2 linked regions of the Diceros bicornis minor genome follow. The protein of the gene in region 1 interacts with the protein of each later gene in a pairwise test. Links are inferred from orthologs where the notes say so. Each region holds a gene or a part of one and is shown in the gene's direction. Other genes may lie near its edges. The genes, in order: ATPAF2 and PKP4.

Region 1 (8,547 bases):
GCCAGGCGAGGTCAGCACCGCAGCCAGCGGGCTTCAATGAGGCTGAAGTGCTCCCAGCTCGGTGCTGGTGACAACAGTATTCCACATGAAAACTGCAAGAGCGTCTGCTGACCCTGGCACTGGACATTACCTAAGGCAGCTGATCCGCACTAACGTGGCTCAGCCAAGATCTTTTAAGAGGACACACAGCTCTAACCTGAGTCCTCAAACTTCATGTATGCAGTTCTCACTGAATTCAATACAGTCTGGGGTCTCACAGCTGCTGGAAAGGGCATCAGGTGGCAAGGGTATCTGCTAATGAGATTAAAAACTGAACTGTAAACTGGCTAACATTTTGCCTGGATTATCACATGCTCAAGAACCAGAATTTCAGTCTGGCCTCTGTTCAACCACGCGTCTCGCTCATTCTGCCCAAACTGATCCTGATGACGACTGGTGAACTCAAATACACCACAACCCAGAGAGCTTTAACCAAACGACAGGCCAGCATCTCCACAAGAAAGAGAACAAGGCAAATGTCTAGCAAAGAAGGTTTCACAGCACAGCTGTGTCCAACAGCTGCTCTTTTTAATATTTCTTTCACAGTGACCCTGGCCTTCAGTTCACTCTTGGCTTCCTGCATGGCAGAGGAGAAACAGAACAGTCACAGTAATAACAACAACAACAAAAACCCCGTCAGAATCTCACAAAGGTTTGAGGAACTCTTCAAACTGAAATCTCTAAAAAAGAAAGTGCTCCAAAAAGCACATGAAAAGATGAGCAACATATCATTAGTCATTAGGGAAATTCAAATCAAAACCACAGTGAGATACCACTTCACACCCACCAGGATGGCTACAACCAAAAAGATGAACAAGGCGCCGGCCCGGTGGCACAGTGGTTAAGCGTGCGCGCTCCACTTTGGCGGCCCGGGGTTCACAGGTTCGGATCCCGGGCGCGGACACACACACCGCTTGTCAAGCCATGCTGTGGTGGCGTCCCATATAAAGTAAGGGAAGGTGGGCATGGAAGTTAGCCCAGGGCCAATCTTTCTCAGCAAAAAGATGAGGATTGGCATCAGATGTTAGCTCAGGGCTGATCTTCCTCACACACACACACACACACACACACACAAAGACGGACAATGCAAGTGTGGAGGAGGATGTGGAGAAACTGGAACCCTCAGACACTGCTAGTGGGAATGTAAAATGGTGCAGCCACTTTGGAAATCAGTCTGGCAGTTCCTCAAAATGTTAGACATAGAGTTACCATATGACCCAGCATTCTACTCCTAGGTATAACACAAGTGAATTGAAGACATTTGTCCACTCAAAAACTTGTACATGGATGCTCACAGCAGCATTATTCATAAGAGCCAACAAGTGGAAACAACCCAAATATCCATCAACTGAGCAATGGATTAAAAAAAATGTCATATATCCACACAATGGACTATTATGCAACAATAAAAAGGAATGAAGCATTGACACATGCTGTGACATGGGTTGAACCTTAAAAACATTATACTCAGTGAAAGAAGCTAGACACAAAAGGTCACATATTGTATGATTCCATTTACATGAAATGTCCAGAATAAGCAAATCTTAGGACAAAAAAATCAGTGGTTGCATACGGTTGGAGGGGGGTGATGGCTAAGGGGTATAAGATTTCTTTTCGGGGTGATGAAAGTGTTCTAAAATTAGATTGCAGTGATGGTTTCACAACTGTGTGGATATACTAAAAACTACTGAATTGTACTCCTTAAATGGGTGAATTCTACGGTATGTGAATTATAACTCAATTAAGCTGATATGAAAAAAAGCAAGCTTGAAAGAGGCTGAGTTATAAAAGGCAGAAGTATTCTAGGAAGGTAGAGTCCAAGAAACTAGTCCTGGCTGAAAAACCAGATGATGGGGCAATTCACATGCCACTGACTTGTTTCAATGACTGACAAACAGCTCACCAATCCAGATGCAGCGCAGCATTCCTGGGCAGGACCACCCCCCGACCCGCCACAGACATCCTCCTCAAGTGGCTTCCAGCCATCGCCAGGTGTCTGCTCTGGGCTGCCCTGAGACATAGCAATCGTGCACCAACTCAATCACCGCTTCCACTGGCTCACAAGGAAACTGGCACCTGACAGGAATTCAGAAACAACACACTAATGACAGCAGTTGCCACAGTAACCAGAGCAGCCTTCTCTCTGACACTTAGCTACCATGCCAGTTGTCCCCCAACCACATCAGAAACCATCAAATTTAACAATGGGCACAAATTCAAGATCATTCCAAACACGACCACACCAGGGATCTCACTTGCAGAATTTTATAGTTACTTGAAAAAAAAAAAAAATCCTGTACTTTCATACTAAATTCTCACATTTTAAGCAAAAGGGATGGGGGATCACCACGTGAGGCCTACAATTACGAAGACAGAAATACCTCAGTCACAATAGTTTTTCACTTACAATAAATATCATGGCTCATAACAGAAGTGTAAGTTTATAGACCAAAGACACAATTAACATGAAGATGTAGTTTTCCCAGTCAAAAAAAGAGAAAAATATTTATTCCAACAAAACAGTAAGAAAAGAGAGGGTGATCAATGCTCTGCAGTTAGCAATAAGAAAATGCTCTCAGTCTTTTGGGTGGAAGATCTACTTGTTCAGAAGAGACGTTAAGATTTAAAACTTCAAAAGAGCAAAGGGCAAGCCTAAGGAAAAGACACATCCTACATTCTGTCCTCACATGGGAGCAGCAAGGCAGCAGAGTAGGACCTCAAAGCTTCTGTAAGGCCTTTCAAGGGGACAGCTGTTAGGACGGGCTTCTGGGAACAGCCTAGGAGATGGGGTGTCAGGCTAAGGATAAAGGCGCAGAGGGAGGGGGGAAGTGGGTCCTAAGGCAGGCAAGGGTAGGTAGAAAGGAGGAACAGTTTTGTAAGGAAGGGAGAGAAAAAGGAGCATTAACCACTGCCCATCTCCTTTGGCTGGGGAAAAAATGCCAAATGTGTTACCACTTGCATGAGAGGGATGAGGTGCAGGAAAGGGCCAGGGCAGGTGAAGCTGTAGTTCCAAAGCTATCAGGGGCTGGCAGCAGACACTCAGAGATCCAGGTCAAATCGGGGGAGGTGGATAGACATGAGAAGGAACTATCCATGTGAGAACTAAAACTGGGTGAGTTAGATTTCCAGTACATGGGTATCAGAGACTGGCAGGAAGCCTGGCTGTGTAGGTAAGGGTTAAGAACAGGGAAAGAGGGTCCCCTGGTGCCAAGAAAGGAGGAAGACGAAGGCATGGGGTGGGAAGATCTGGGTAGGCAGGCCAGGGAGACTGGGAGCAGACTGGAAGTGGCCAAAGAGGGGTAAGGAGTATGAGAAGCCTGGGGCAGGAGGCCTGGGTGTCCCAGCCAGGAAGAGACTGGAGCAGTAGGGGGTCCCATGACACAAGACCTAACATACTGTGAGGAGGCTCTCCCAGCAGCACCCAGGATGTGAGTGCCTGGTGTTGGGGGAGGGGGCACGAGCCAGGAATCAGTTGTAGGTTGTGGGCTCTCAGGGGCTAAAGGGGGTTGGGTGCTCCCAGATCTGAGGGGGCTGATTAAGCTTCGTCCCAAAGACGAAACCCTAGGAGGAGGAGGAGGAGGGCCCCAGAGCCTGAGGATTCCTGGGAGGGAGGAAAGGCGGCAAGGAGGCATGTCTCAGGTCTGGGAGAATCAGACATGGGCCTAGCCATGGGGAGGGTCCCGAGTCAGGAGAAATCAGTGGAGAGCTCCTCAAGATCTGAGAGGGAACGAGGGAGGGCCGATCTTTGGGCGACAGGTCATGGAGAGGAAGGACCCTGGTCTGAGGGTGGCGAGTCATAAGGGGCTTCCGGATCCCAGGCGGGCCGGTCACGGGCTTCATGTCTGGGACAGTGTTCAGGGTCTGCCAGGAGCTGCTCACGACAGGCTCCGGGTGTGAGGGGGCAGGTCAGGGTTGGGGTTCGAAGCGTGTGAGACACCAGCTGGGCAGGTCCGGGGGTGAAGCGCCGGGTGCGGGAGGCCCGGTGGCGAGGGCCTGGTCCGCGGCTGCGGGCTCGAGGAGCCGGGGGCGGGCACGGCCCGCGAGCGCCGCGAGGAGGCCCTCGGGCCCGGCCCGGCCCGGCGCTCACCTGCAGCACCACCTCTACGTCGTACGAGTTCCCCTTGCTCTTCTGGTGGCCGCGGAACTTGGAGCCGCTGTAAAGCAGGCTGGTGGCCACGCCGGGCTGCTGGGTGTTGATGGGCGGCGGCGGGATGAGCGAGGCCGCGGAGGCGGCCGAGGCACCGGCCGGCGGGGGACACTCGGTGCGGACCGGCATCGCGGGGTCCCCCGGAGCCAGGGCTGGGGGGAGGGGAGAGGAACCGCCGCCGGCGCGCGGGAGCCGCGGAGGGTGGCAGGGAGGGAGGGGCCGGGGCGCGCGCGCGCGCGTGGGGCTGGGGCGGGAGGGGGGAACCACCCGCCCGCTGCCTGCGGACCAAGCGCTCCGGCCGCCACCGGGACCCCGGGACCTGCTAGCAGGGCCTCCTGGTCCTGAGCCGAGTCCCCCTCCCCACTTGCCCTCGCACACACACCACCCCCTCCAATTGGCTCGAGCGCGCCGGGGGGGCGGGAGCAGGCTCACGCGGCGCTTCCACCCATTGGCGGGTGTAGAAAACACGTGGCGAGATGCGCGAGGGGCCCTCTGGGACTTGTAGTCTTCTTCCCGAGACGCGGCGTGGAGGGGGCGGGGCGAGGTGCGTTTGTGATGCTGATTGACTGGGGGTGTGCGCAGGATGCGCGCGCGAGCGACGGCGCGCCGTTGGTGTCATGCGGAAGATGGCGGCGTCCAGGGCAGGCTGAGGGTTCTGGGGCAGGCAGTGAGAGGTTTCCGTACAGCCGGAGCCTGCGGATCCCTTCGCTCTGTTTCCTGCTCTCAGGTTTCGCGCCTGTCGTCCTCCCAGGCCCTCGGGTGCGATGTGGAGGACCTGCCTCCGGCTGCGGGACGAGGGGCGCCGCCTCCTGAACGGGCCCCGGCGTGGCCTCATCGCCTCCGTGAGGCCGGGGCCAACCCCCCCGCCCCAAGCCCGGGCCTACGCACCCCCGACAGGTGAGGGAGGCCAGGGCACGTTCCCTTTTGGCCAGGGGCGAGCCGGGCTGAGAGGTTCGGCCGTGCAGGCAGAGGTAACCGAGTTAGGGGTCGGGCTCATGAGGTTACGCAGGTCAACAGGATCCTGTTACAGATCGGGAAAGAGAAGCCCAGGCCAGAGCAGGGACCACCCCAGGGCACAAAGCGCGTCCCGGCCGGAGTCAGTAATTGACATTTAGGAAGTGCGTCTTTTCTCAAAGCTTGTGGCTTTCCTCTCTTCAGTAAGGAAAGCAGATGTCATCGTTGTTTTGGGACAAAGAAATTCGGGTTCTGGATCAGGACTACGCCAAGGTCACAGAGCAGACTCTGCGAGTTTTGTGGAGGGCAAAGGTCGGCCTGTCTGACTGCTTTCTCTGGCCCCAGGACCCGGCGCAGAAGGGGCCTAGAACCCTGGCATTCAGTCTTCCATCCGGCCACTTTCTCCGCAGGTTTCCTGGCCCTCCCTCCTACTGCCCTACCACCTAGAAGGAGGCCTAGAAGAAGGTCGTGGCTCTTTCTTTGCTTTTGGGGAGAGGTCTTAGCTTAAGAGTGGGAGTGACTGACTCCCTTAAATGAGTGAAGAGTAGGTAACACTCTCCTTCCATTCAATTAGTTTTTCTGTGCTGAGGGCAGAAGGCACCATGGTCTTCAAGACAGACATACTTCTCACCTGGATGATGTTCACTGTCAAAGTGCAGAAAGTTATGCTATCCTGATTAAACAGCTTATAATATCCTGGATAAGGGAAGTGCAAAGAAGCTGTGAGAACACAAAGAAGCACCTACTCCCATCTTAGGGGTGTTGAGGGTCTAGAAAGGGTCTTGGGTGAAAGGATATTTAAGCTGAGTCTTGATAGATGAGTAGGAGTTTGGTGTAGAGGAGGAGGAAGAGTGTTGGGTGGCTAGAACATGTCCAGAGGTGACAGTGGGGATTGAGGGACCTTGGTGTAACACTGTCTGCTTTAGAAAATGTAGATCTCTATAGGCAGTGTGGCAGTGTGGCAGAAGTACAAATCTAGGTCTGATGCTGGCTGAACCTCTGAGGTACTGTGTGATCTTGGGCATGTGACTGCTTCCTCTGGCCTTATTTTCCTCTGTGAGTTGAAGGACTACGTTGCCTCTGAGGGTTAAGTCCCATAAGTTTATGTAGATGGGGATGATGCAGCAGGGAGCTGGGGTTTCACCTGTCAGGACCCAGGTGAAGGGCCTGGAGGTGGGCCATGAAGAGCCAGTAAAGAGGAGGAAGGAAGGGCATCTGTGATATTGGGATTTATAATAAGAAATATATATATATATTTAGTCTTCGTCCTGTCCTGGCACACATCTCCTAAAACGCTTGTAATTTACTAGGCAATAAGAGCTATAGGAGAATATTTTGTTATAGTATTTGGTCTTTTGTCCTGAAATAACTCCAGAGTGATAAAGGTGAAACGAACATCTTGTTATTCGTAACAAGCACCTTTCAACCACGTCTGACTTTATGTTAATTCGGTGACTTTTGGAAAGCCCCTAAGGATGGGGGCTGGTTGCCAGGGGACCAACCACATGATTAGAGGGTTGGAACTTTCAGCCCCACCTCCTGATCTCTGGGAAGGGGAGAGGGCTAGAGATTGACTTGATCACTAATGGCCTGTGATTTAATCAATCACGCTTATGTAATGAAGCCTCCATAAAACCCCTGAACTACGGGGTTCGGAGAGTTTCCGGGTTGTTGAACACATGGAGGTGCTAGGAAAGTGGCATGCCCAGAGAGGGCATGGAAGCTCCGTGCCCCTTTCCCCATACCTTGCCCTGTGCATCTTCCATCTGGCTGTTCCTGAGTTGTACCCTTTTATGATAAACGGGTAATCTAGTAAGTAAAATGTTTTCCTGAGTTCTGTGAGCTGCTTTAGCAAATTAATCAAACCTGAGGAGGGATCCTGGGAATCTCACATTTACAGGTCAGAAGCACAGGTGACAACCTGGACTTGCGATCGGTGTCTGAAGTGGGGCATGGGGGGAGGGGGGAATCAGTCTTGGGCTGAGCCCTTAGGCTGTGGGATCTGACACTAACTCCAGGTAGATAGCGTCAGAACTTAATTAAATTGTAGACACCAGCTGGTGTTGCAGAGTTGATTGGTGGGAAAACCCCCAAAGGAAAAGGTAAAGGCAAATAAGAGGTTTTGTGTTTTTTCCTTTACAGCATCCCAGGGAGGCGCAACACTGGCAGAGGGGACACATTCAAGAGTTCACTGAAGTTGGCATGAGCGGAGGATTAATTTAGATTAGTGGAGGCCACTTCCCGTTATGGTGGCACTTGATCTGCCATCTCCTTTTCCTTTCTACTGCAGAGCCACTAATTTAGGCTCTTGGAAGTGCCTGGTACATGGTAGGTAGTCAAACATGAAAAAAAATATGGATGAAGGAAAGAGCGAAGCACAGTGGGGGGCAGTATGTCAACCAGGCCTATGAGTGCCCTACAAAGACTTGACCAGTTTGAGACTGTGAGTCTTTGGAGTAGTGGAAGATTAAACCCAAGTTGGGCCTTCTTGACGAAGACCTCGGTTGGCAAGCAGACTGAACTTGGCTGCTTAGGAATGGCCATGCCATTGAAGGTTGTCAGGAGAGGAGGGGGTTAGGAAAGGGTCACTGAGGTGTTGGAGGAGATCTGTGTGAGGCTGTGTGGCGGTCCGTCTGTGAACCAGCTGTCAGAGATCCATCAGCTGCTTCGAGGGGAAGGTGTTCTGGAGAGGCTGCATGTCTGGCTGAGTGCAGTGCCCAGTGAAGTCACAGCCAGAAGTCTTGTCTCCTCTGTTTACAAGTTGTCTGTCACCTGGCTAAGTCATTTAGCTCCTTAGAGTCTCTGTCACCTCAGAGGCATTACCTGTCGTTTTCATAGAGTGGTCATGTTGTGTTGAGGGAGATTCCGTAGGTAAGGAGTTCAGCCTGCCACCTGTTTTTATAAATAAAGTTTTATTGGAACACAGCCATGCTTGTTCATTTACATATCATTTAGGGCTGCTTTCACTACAGTGGCAGAGCTGACTAGTTGCAACCGAGACTGCATGGCCTGCAGAGCCTAAAATATTTACTCTGGCTCTTTTTTTTTTTTTAAAGATTTTATTTATTTATTTTTTTCCCCCCAAAGCCCCAGTAGATAGTTGTATGTCACAGCTGCACATCCTTCCAGTTGCTGCATGTGAGACGCGGCCTCAGCATGGCCGGAGAGGCGGTGCGCGCCCGGGATCTGAACCTGGGCCGCCAGCAGTGGAGCGCGTGCACTTAACCGCTAAGCCATGGGGCCGGCCCTTTACTCTGGCTCTTTACAGAAAAAGTTTGCCATCCCCTGCTCTAGGTGTTAGAGCAATTTGGAAAAAGTGTGTTTTGTCACTTAGCCCATTTACATTAATTGCTATGGCAGTTACATTTGGCCTGAAGAAGTTTTTTAACGGCTGTATTGTGATATAG
Region 2 (8,776 bases), on another chromosome or scaffold:
TTTTTGATTATAAGGAACAGAGACTCACTAAAGGCAAACCAGGAAAAGAATAGGTTAAAGGTGATTACAAGAAACATAAATCTCGTGAAACAATAAAAAATGAATTTTATTCTGGCTTCATGGGGAGAATAGAAACCCAGAAAACATCAGCACCAAGGCAGTTGCTCACTCTGGCTCACTTGTTCTCTCAACTCCAAATTCCCAGGAGAAAAATCTGACTGGCATTGTTAAGGGTTATGGATCAATGATCAGCCAATGGACTCGCAACATTTGAATCAGGTCCTCACTGGGGCTGATACTATGGCCAGAAGATCATGAGGCACACAGGGCTGCCTACTTCAAGGGCTGTGGATATAGGTACTTGGAAACATGTCTATTATACTTACCAGATGTTTGATGCTTTTCTGATTTTATAAAGCTGTTAAATTCTCATGATACCACTGTGTTCCAAAAGACAGAACAACCTGGATGCTTCAAATGGAAAAAATGTATGTAACCCTTATTTAACCTGCTTGAATTTCAAGTGCTTTCCCCCATACATGGAGTTTTACAGCCTTAGCTCTGAACATGATAACTTCTTGCCAAAGCAATGCAGCTAGTCCTTCTCACACAGGTCTCCTCCCTCATAGAGGGGTAGAGATAGGTCCTGGTAGAGATAAGATCTTAGGCCTTTCTCTCTCAGGAGGCTACATGGCAAGAACCACTCTGCCACACATTGCCTCACTTTTCCACATTGAACTTCTAGTCTCATCTTTTTCTAATTACCTCCCAATGTTACTGATTCCAATTTTTCATTGTTGGAAGTTAAATTCTTTCAAGGACTGAAAAAAAGACTAATGAATGTCAGCTTTTCTTAGTGTAGGGAGCACTTCAGTAGTAGTCCAAGGCACAATGGAGGATATAGTCATGACCATAGATATGTATCCTATCCTCTACGAAAGAAGGCTCACACACAAATAACTACAGCATGAGGTAAAGAGTGTTAAGAGCCACAATAATATACTAAGGCAGAAATCACCCTTTCCAGAGGGCGGTAAGGTCAGGAAATTTTCAGAAAAGTCCCTACAGGTAACTATTGGCCTCTAAGGGCAGGGGAGGATTTACATATTCAGCTACTGGGCTGGAGGTGGGGCACAGCCAATTCTGAAATCCTGAGCAGAACTATTATTAAGCTCTAGCATCCCTTCTCAGGACCAGTTTATTCCACTGCTCTTTCCTTCATTTGCCATCTGCTTCTGTTTTAACATTCCTTTTAAAAACAACAAAAAAATAACTATCAGTTATCAGTGTACTTTTTGGGGTTCTTATCTTCACTGATCCCACCTTCTCCATCGACATCCAAGAATGAGAAGAGAGACAGTGTTCCTCCTTCCCCCTTTTCCTTGCTGCCTCTGCTATTCTTTTTCAGGAATTTACTACTACTCATTATGTGCTAATATGAAAATAACAAACATTGGAAAGTTACAAAGTTTTCATAATCATGAAAGGTTTAGGTTGACTTTTTTCTGGGATGGTGATTTAAAAGTTCCCTCAGATTTCCAATGTTTACTTGTGTTCTTGAGGGTGGAGCTCACCAAACCTCCTTCTTCTAACCTTTCTAAGCTTTCTAACTTGCCCTAGGCCTCACAGTCAGCCTGAGCAGAGACCCCTCTTCCCTCTTCTACTTCCCAGTAGTTAGAGGGAAGGTGGTGTAGCTAGCAGGTTAATGCTTCACTTTCTCAAGTAGGTCATTTGCATTTCTATGGACCCTCAGGGTGACAGAAACCAGTTTCTACCCTTCACCGGAAATCTGGAATTGAAGCACTGCAATTCGCAAATAAAGGGCACTTTTGTAGGAGAGAAACTTTATTGGCAAAATGAGTTAGGATTTTGAGGAGAAAGAGCACAATCTTAAAAATCGTTTCAGTTGTATTCAAGGGCCAGAACATTGGGGGTGAAAAAATAGAAGCCTCAAGAAATTCCCTTCAGACTGTTTCTTGATGAAAGGGAAGGCCAATAGATGGAGATAGAGCTAGGATAGAAGGAAGGTGGTTCACGAAAGGATATTTGTAAGGCATAGGAAAAAAACTTTGGAAGAAAGGATCTAACACATGATCTAAGAGAGAAATACTATCAACAGAGCAAAATCCTGGAGGAGGAAGGATGGCCAATATTTAGGAGCACAAATGGAGTATGAGCTTAGAAGAGAAGGGTGGACACCCCTTCTCAGCCAGGAGTGAAGCAAGTGATGAAGTGTAAAAATTAGACTGAGGTTTAGGAAAGTTAAGTTGAGGAACCTCATGGTGGATACCTCAGTCAAGTATGAGGCAAAATCATTTGCACAACTGGAAGAAGTCCAAGTACTGTGGGGGCTTATGGAGAGCAGAAATAGGACGGGCTTGGGAGAAGTGCCCTGGATAACAGCCTTGGATAAGAGTCTTGAATAATCACCCTCCTGATGAGGAAAGGAATTTAGAGAATCAATGACGACCCAGCCAAGTCTGGATAGCATCAACTTTTAGTGGAACAAAGTGATTTCTTAACCTTATCCAGCAATGCTTGATCGTGCAGGAGCAGGTCCAAAAGAAACCTTTCAACTGAGTAAAAGAATTATGGAATAAAAATGTTGAATGACAACATTTTAAAACACAAAGAGAAAAGATTATTGGAGTAAAAAAATCAATTAGTTCTTGTTTTCTTCTTTCCATGCTAGTCTAAGGCAAGAAAAAAGGAAATATCAATTTTTTCTTTCTTTTTAGACACATCTTCCATTCATTATTATTAAAAATTTTTAAAAACCAAATTATTGGCATCTTGTTAGTATATTAAAAATGAGTCTTATTCATAAAAATTTGCATTTTACTTTTTCTATTGTCCAATAAACAAACACAAAAAAGCCAGAAATTGAAAGCATGATGAGCTAATTTCCATGATGGCAAAGCAAGATGCAGCACTCCACGGCCCCTGGTGATTCCCTCCCAATTCTGGAAATGTTTAGGGGGAACACTCTCATGTTCGACTGTTTTGTTCCACAGTCCAACCCTGCATAGGATTGTCAACTAAGTTCAAATTTTACTACAAATTGTGCGAGATAATTTTCCAGTCAAGGAACCATATTAATAATTCTTATCTATTTTTTAATCTTTGATTACAGTAGATAAAAAACAATAGCAAAGCATATTATCCAACTTAAAACTCAAGACAGTAGTTAGACATATGTAGCTTGCACACAGTAATCTGTTTCTCTCAAAAAAATACTTGTAATTTCCAAAATCCTATCAGCTTTTTCACACAATGGGGTCCCTCCAACTCGAGGCACAGTAACATAAACATGTCTTCTTACTAAAGAGATTAGTATAAAAATGGCAAAATCACCAAAAGAAGGAACCTAAGAATATCAGTGGCTGTATGATAGAGCAAAATAATGCTTAAAAGTCTAATATATTCATGAAGTCCCACTTTAATAGCCAGTATCTAAATATGAAAGTTATCTACAAAGAAAAATGATATTGACAAAGTAGCACTAAGTAACTTTAAATGACAGCAGAGGACTTGTTATTAAAGCTCAAGATTTTTGTATGTACTGATTCCATGCCTCAGTTCATATCTTTATCAAATTTAGAGATAAACTGGAAAATATCCACAAAACAAAATCCATCAACTGTAATCTATTTCCTTTACTCTTTTGTGAAATCATTAGAAGGCATGAAGGACCGACCTGTGTCTTTACCCACCCTGTGATCTCTTCAACGAAGAGATGAGAGGTTTGCTTTGGGAAGCAGAGAACACATTATCTTATGTGTTGAGCCGATGACATCCATTATACAATACATCAGCCTGTTTCCTTACCAAAATATCATCCAAAGGAAATTCTCTTTGAGTCTCCCGTAGGGAGGGCTGTAATTCTGAAGACCCCCAATTTTAAGGCAAGATCCGCCCCAGGGAAGGGGGAGTGTTTGGGAAAAACAAGTGCAATTCAGGTGGATCGGTGACGTCAGGAAGAAGCGGAGATTTAAGGGACGGGTGCAAACTCACCTGGAGAAGCAGAAGCTGCACACATGTCAAAGGTCAAAGGGCACAGCCTCGGGGGCTCCCCAGACGCGGGAAAAGTGAAACGCCCACTCGTTGGCTCTCACCTTCAAGGATTCGTACAAGGGCTCAGCTGTTCCTGCCTTTGACGCCAGGGACAAACACTACCATGCACAGCTGGGGTTGACAGGAAGGCAAAGCAAAAGCTGCCCCAGATTTCAGAGCCAGCGCCCAGGAATCCCCCTATACTTCTTTCCCCCACCCCCTCCCGCGCCCAAAGCCAGAGACACCTCCATCCTCACTCGCCACCTTCTCCAGGCCCTTTCGCTCTTCACAGCATCGGTCTCTATGGCGACCTGAAACCACAGTTCCCATTGGCCCATTCAATATGAGGGCCGGGCCAATGGGGAGGACCAGCCTTCTCCTTCTGACCAATGGGGTCGGCAGCGAGCAGGTCCGGAGACGGCGGCGTGCTGACGTTCCCGGGAGCCCGGGGCTGGCTGGGCAGGCGGGCTGGCGGCTGGGCGGGCGGTGGCGGCGGCCTCTGGGCGGTAGAGGGGGCTCCGGGGCTGAGTCCGTGTCGACGCCGGCCGCGGAGGCGGCACCATGGGCACGGGGTAGAGGGGCAAGTTGGCCACCGCCGCCGCCGGGGGTGGTGGGAGAGCCGCTTCGGGGGAGGGGGCGGGTGGGGGAGGGAGGGGCGGGCAGCAGCTCGGCCGCGGCACTTTTTTAATTTTTTCGAGTGTCGCAGCGGCGACCCCTCGGAGCCGATGTCCCTGATCTGCGGAGCGACGACGGCTGCTGCCTAACCTGGAAAGTAAGTGTGCGGGCTCGCGGGCGGGCGCAGACACTCCTGCCCACGAGACCCCCGGCCCTCGCGCCCGAGCCGGGACCTGCCTGCGAGGGGCGCCGGGGGCACGGGCGCCTCCTTCTCTTTACTCCGTCCCCACCGCCGCGCGGCCGCCTCGGCTTTCCTGCCCCGCCTCGTGTTCCTGCCCGCACTCGCCTGCCTGCTCCCCTCCCCCCGGCGGGCGCACAAGTTTCACCCTCCATTTGCTTTTCCCGGCGATTACTCTCCCCGAGTCTCCCCTTCACGCCGCGCACGACCCCTCCCCACGTTGGCGTTTTCGGATCCAGAGCCCCAGCCCCAAACTTGAGCGGCACGCCGAGCCCTCCTGGACGCCAGCCCAGAGGCTTCCCTGCTCCTGCCCGCCTGGCACGCCGCCCCGCGCCCCCGGCACCCCGGCGCACCCGCCTTCCCCAGCCCTCAGGGCCGTCTGTCCGTCCCTCCAGCCCCAGATCCTGCATCCTGGCCCCCTCCCATGCTCCTGCTGCCTGCACGGTCTCGCGCCCGCCTCCTGAGTCCCGCGCTTCTGCCGGGCCTGCCCACCCCGCTCTGCCCAGTGCGCCCCTGTCTCCTCGCCGCGTATCCTCACGCTCCACCCCTCCCGTCTCCCCAGCCCGGAGCTTCCCCGGCTGTCCTCCTGCGCCGCCGCTTCCTCCTCTCCTTGCCAGGAGTTGAAGCGGAGCTGCGGCACCCCTTTGGCGGATCGCGTGTCCCTGCCGGCCGCTGGGGCTGCCCGGCCCTCTCCCCTTTGCCCCCTGCCCGGGAAGCGAGGGGGTGAGCGGCGGGGCCCAGATTTGGCTGCGTGTTGGCCGAGTGCGACAAACAGGGAGCGCAGGCAGTGGAGGCGCCGCGGCGGCCGTGGCCGCTCGGGGCGCAGCACTAGGCAGGTGTGTGTGTCCGGGGGGGACGCGCTCCGCCAGCTCCTCGGCTGGCGACAGATTGTGCAGGAATGCAAGGAATGCACCGGGGCATAGTCCACACGGCCAGCCGCGGCTGCAGTAGCGCCTTCCCGGCCCAGCTCTCGCCGCGCAGCCGGAGGTCACCGGAGCATCTTCGGAGCTGGTGAGCCTCGCTCCGCTCTTCTCTCCTCGCCTCTCTTCATGCGGCAGAGAGGGCGGCGGAGGGGGAGCGCGGCAGTTCTGTTGGGTTTCTGCTAGCCCTTCGGCTGGTTTCTGCTGCACTGGTCTCCAGGACCGCGAATTTGGGGCCAATGGCGGTGTAGCCAAGGTTATTGATCATTGCACAAGGTTCTTGGCAAGTTTGGTTTGCAAGATTTGAATATCGCCTGGTTTTTACGAGGGTTTTCTGAAAACCTGCAGGAACGGGTGTCCAAGGTTCTTAGAGTAATGAGCTTGCAGCCGACGTATTTTAGCTTTATCAAAAAATGTCTGTTAATGCTCATGGACAGGGATGTACTGCAAGAGAGATCGTGAATGCATCACTTTGCTGTCATAAGAATTGTAATTTTTTTCTCGTCATACTGGGTTGTGCTTAGACCTCTTATAATACATAATGAATAGAAACAGAGAAGCAGTGTTTAGTCAGCGATGGGACAGATAGAACTGTCTGGTACAGTTAAATTCGGGGCGTGTCAGTTACCATTGAAAGTAACACGGGGACATCACAATCATGTGTATTTCAAGATGTAATTTATTAGTTGAGGTCTGAGTTCTTTCTCTTCTTGTTACTGAGTTTGACTGAAAAATAAATACAGCTCTACAACTTTTAATGAATAATTATTTTGTAAAATCAGTAATGATTAGTATACATTTTGGGGAAAATTTTATTTTCTTTAATGCAGAAAAGCAAATTTTTCAAGGAGGTGCTTCTCTAGAATTGGGCTTAGATTCTTTTATTTTAAAAAGGAAAGTAGAAGACAGCTTCTCTTTTTGAATGCAGTGTATTGCTATAGAAGTATTTTCATTTCTGGTGCCTTTGAAGCAGTTATGGAAAATGGTAATATGAAATGAGAACCACTCATGCAAAATAAGTGTTTCTGATGTTGAAAAGCATACTGTGTGTGCTTTTATTTGACACAGTGTGCTTTGGAGGTTGAGTTTTACTGTAAGCCTCTCCACACTTGATTATTTTGTATCAGATTCAGGAAAATAGTAAGTTGATTGTCCAGCTGTCTTCCAGCACCTACTTTGTGTGGATTAAGGGAATTGAAAAGTATAAGATGAGAGTCTTTTTTAGTTAAGGACCCAACAGAATGTGGGAAAAAAAAAAAAAAAACAACTGTACTGGGAATGGTTGTGTCTTTTGGCTGCTACATTGTTTTTCAGGTACATCTGTAATCAGTGGACCTTCTAATTTAGAGATTTAACTCCAAATTAGAGTTAGTAACACTCTGTAGGATATTGGGAGGTGTTTGTAGATGCCAACAGGAAACTTATGTAACAATATCATATTACAGCAGAGTTTAACATGTGCTTATTTGATTTGATATGAAGATTAGAAAGTAAAATCGTATTTAGTTTCTCTGCTACATTAGAAATTGAAATAATCCTTTCCCGTATATAGATAATGTATATACAGGACTGGCTGTGCAAATAGTTTTACCTGCTTCAAGTAAAGGTAGGCTTTCAGTTAGAAATATATTCTATTTGTTATAAATATTTGAAGAGAGGCAGTTTTAAACTGGTGATCGTTCAAAATTGAAAATAACGTAAACTGTGTTTTGATCAAAATAACACAAACTGTGTTTTCCCTCCCCAACCCCCACTATTATATAAGGAGAAGGTGCTGCATTTCGTGTCTTGCATGTTATACTGAAGATACTAAATTGGGGAACTAAGTGTCCAGTTATCTTAATTCTTACCTGTGTTGATTTTGGAGGGAGATAGGGATCAGGGTAGTGATGGAAAGCATAAGAGAAGGTAAGCAGAAAGTAGGAGCAGTTGGCATTCATCCAGAAAAACAAAATATGTTACTGCTGCATTTATAAGCTGGATAAACCGAACCTAATTCTGCACGTAGCTCTAACATAATTTGAATTTAAAGAAACTGCTACCAAACTCAGTTTAATAAAAACTTGAGCAATTTCATGACCTTGAGTATTTGGATTAAGTCTGTATCAAGTCAGAATTGCAGCTTTCTTTCTTTTCAGAGCTATACATATTGGGAAAGTAATTGTTTTGTTTGTTTGTTTTTGTTTTTTTGTGTGTGAGGAAGATCGGCCCTGAGCTAACATCTGCCAATCCTCCTCTTTTTGAGCAGGAAGACTGGCCCTGGGCTAACATCTATGCCCATCTTCCTCCACTTTATATGGGATGCCGCCACAGTATGGGTTGCCAAGCGGTGCGTTGGTGCGCGCCCGGGATCCGAACCATCTAACCCCGGTCCCCGCAGTGGAGCACGCGCACTTAACCACTTGCGCCACTGGGCCGGCCCCAAGGGAAAGTAATTTTAGTTTAAACTTTTAAATTCACTTAATTTTTAAAAATCCAATTATTGCCAATTTTAAAACTAAATGATTTTCTTGCTGTTGACCAGGGATCAATCTAAATAGAATTTTCATATCCTGGATGATGCCAATTAATTGATAAGTCCAGTCCCTCGCCTTACTGCTTTGAATTATTAAGATATTTTGAGAATGCTCTATAATCTAATGTTTCTATTTCAATCAAGAGGTAAATCCCTAATTTGCTTTATTCTAAAATGGACATCATGCTTTCATTCTTCACTGGAAGATAAAGTCGAGGTTATTCCAGGGCATAAACATCCATGGAATTTTATGTCACTTTGGGGAAGTTGCCTTCACGCCTTCAGTGTAGTGGGAGATAATTACTTCTTCAATGTGTTAAATGGTTTTGTAGTGCCTTTCCTGCACTGAAGGGGAAAGAGGAATCTGAAACATAACACCAGTGGGCTGGATATGTTTGGAAAACTAAGTAACTATTTCACACCCAAACTGTGACT

Evidence for each region.
Region 2: the proteins of ATPAF2 (region 1) and PKP4 interact in binary tests that used the Homo sapiens proteins (3 or more experiments, as listed by UniProt). The two-hybrid records come from large-scale screens. The link is inferred for Diceros bicornis minor from reciprocal best matches to the Homo sapiens genes ATPAF2 and PKP4.

What each region holds. Positions count from the first base shown.
Region 1 is NC_080757.1:1,434,198-1,442,744, reverse strand, and holds the start of ATPAF2 (ATP synthase mitochondrial F1 complex assembly factor 2), read left to right. Parts: upstream 1-4,810; 5' UTR 4,811-4,950; coding exon 4,951-5,083; intron 5,084-7,282; exon of another isoform or gene 7,283-7,386; coding exon of another isoform or gene 7,387-7,468; intron 7,469-8,547. Other genes in the region: GID4 (glucose-induced degradation protein 4 homolog), read right to left, coding at 4,127-4,315. UniProt on the Homo sapiens protein: Plays a role in the assembly of the F1 component of the mitochondrial ATP synthase (ATPase).
Region 2 is NC_080749.1:41,200,860-41,209,635, forward strand, and holds the start of PKP4 (plakophilin-4), read left to right. Parts: upstream 1-4,723; 5' UTR 4,724-4,825; intron 4,826-5,871; exon of another isoform or gene 5,872-5,917; intron 5,918-8,776. Other genes in the region: CCDC148 (coiled-coil domain-containing protein 148), read right to left, coding at 4,015-4,039. UniProt on the Homo sapiens protein: Plays a role as a regulator of Rho activity during cytokinesis. May play a role in junctional plaques.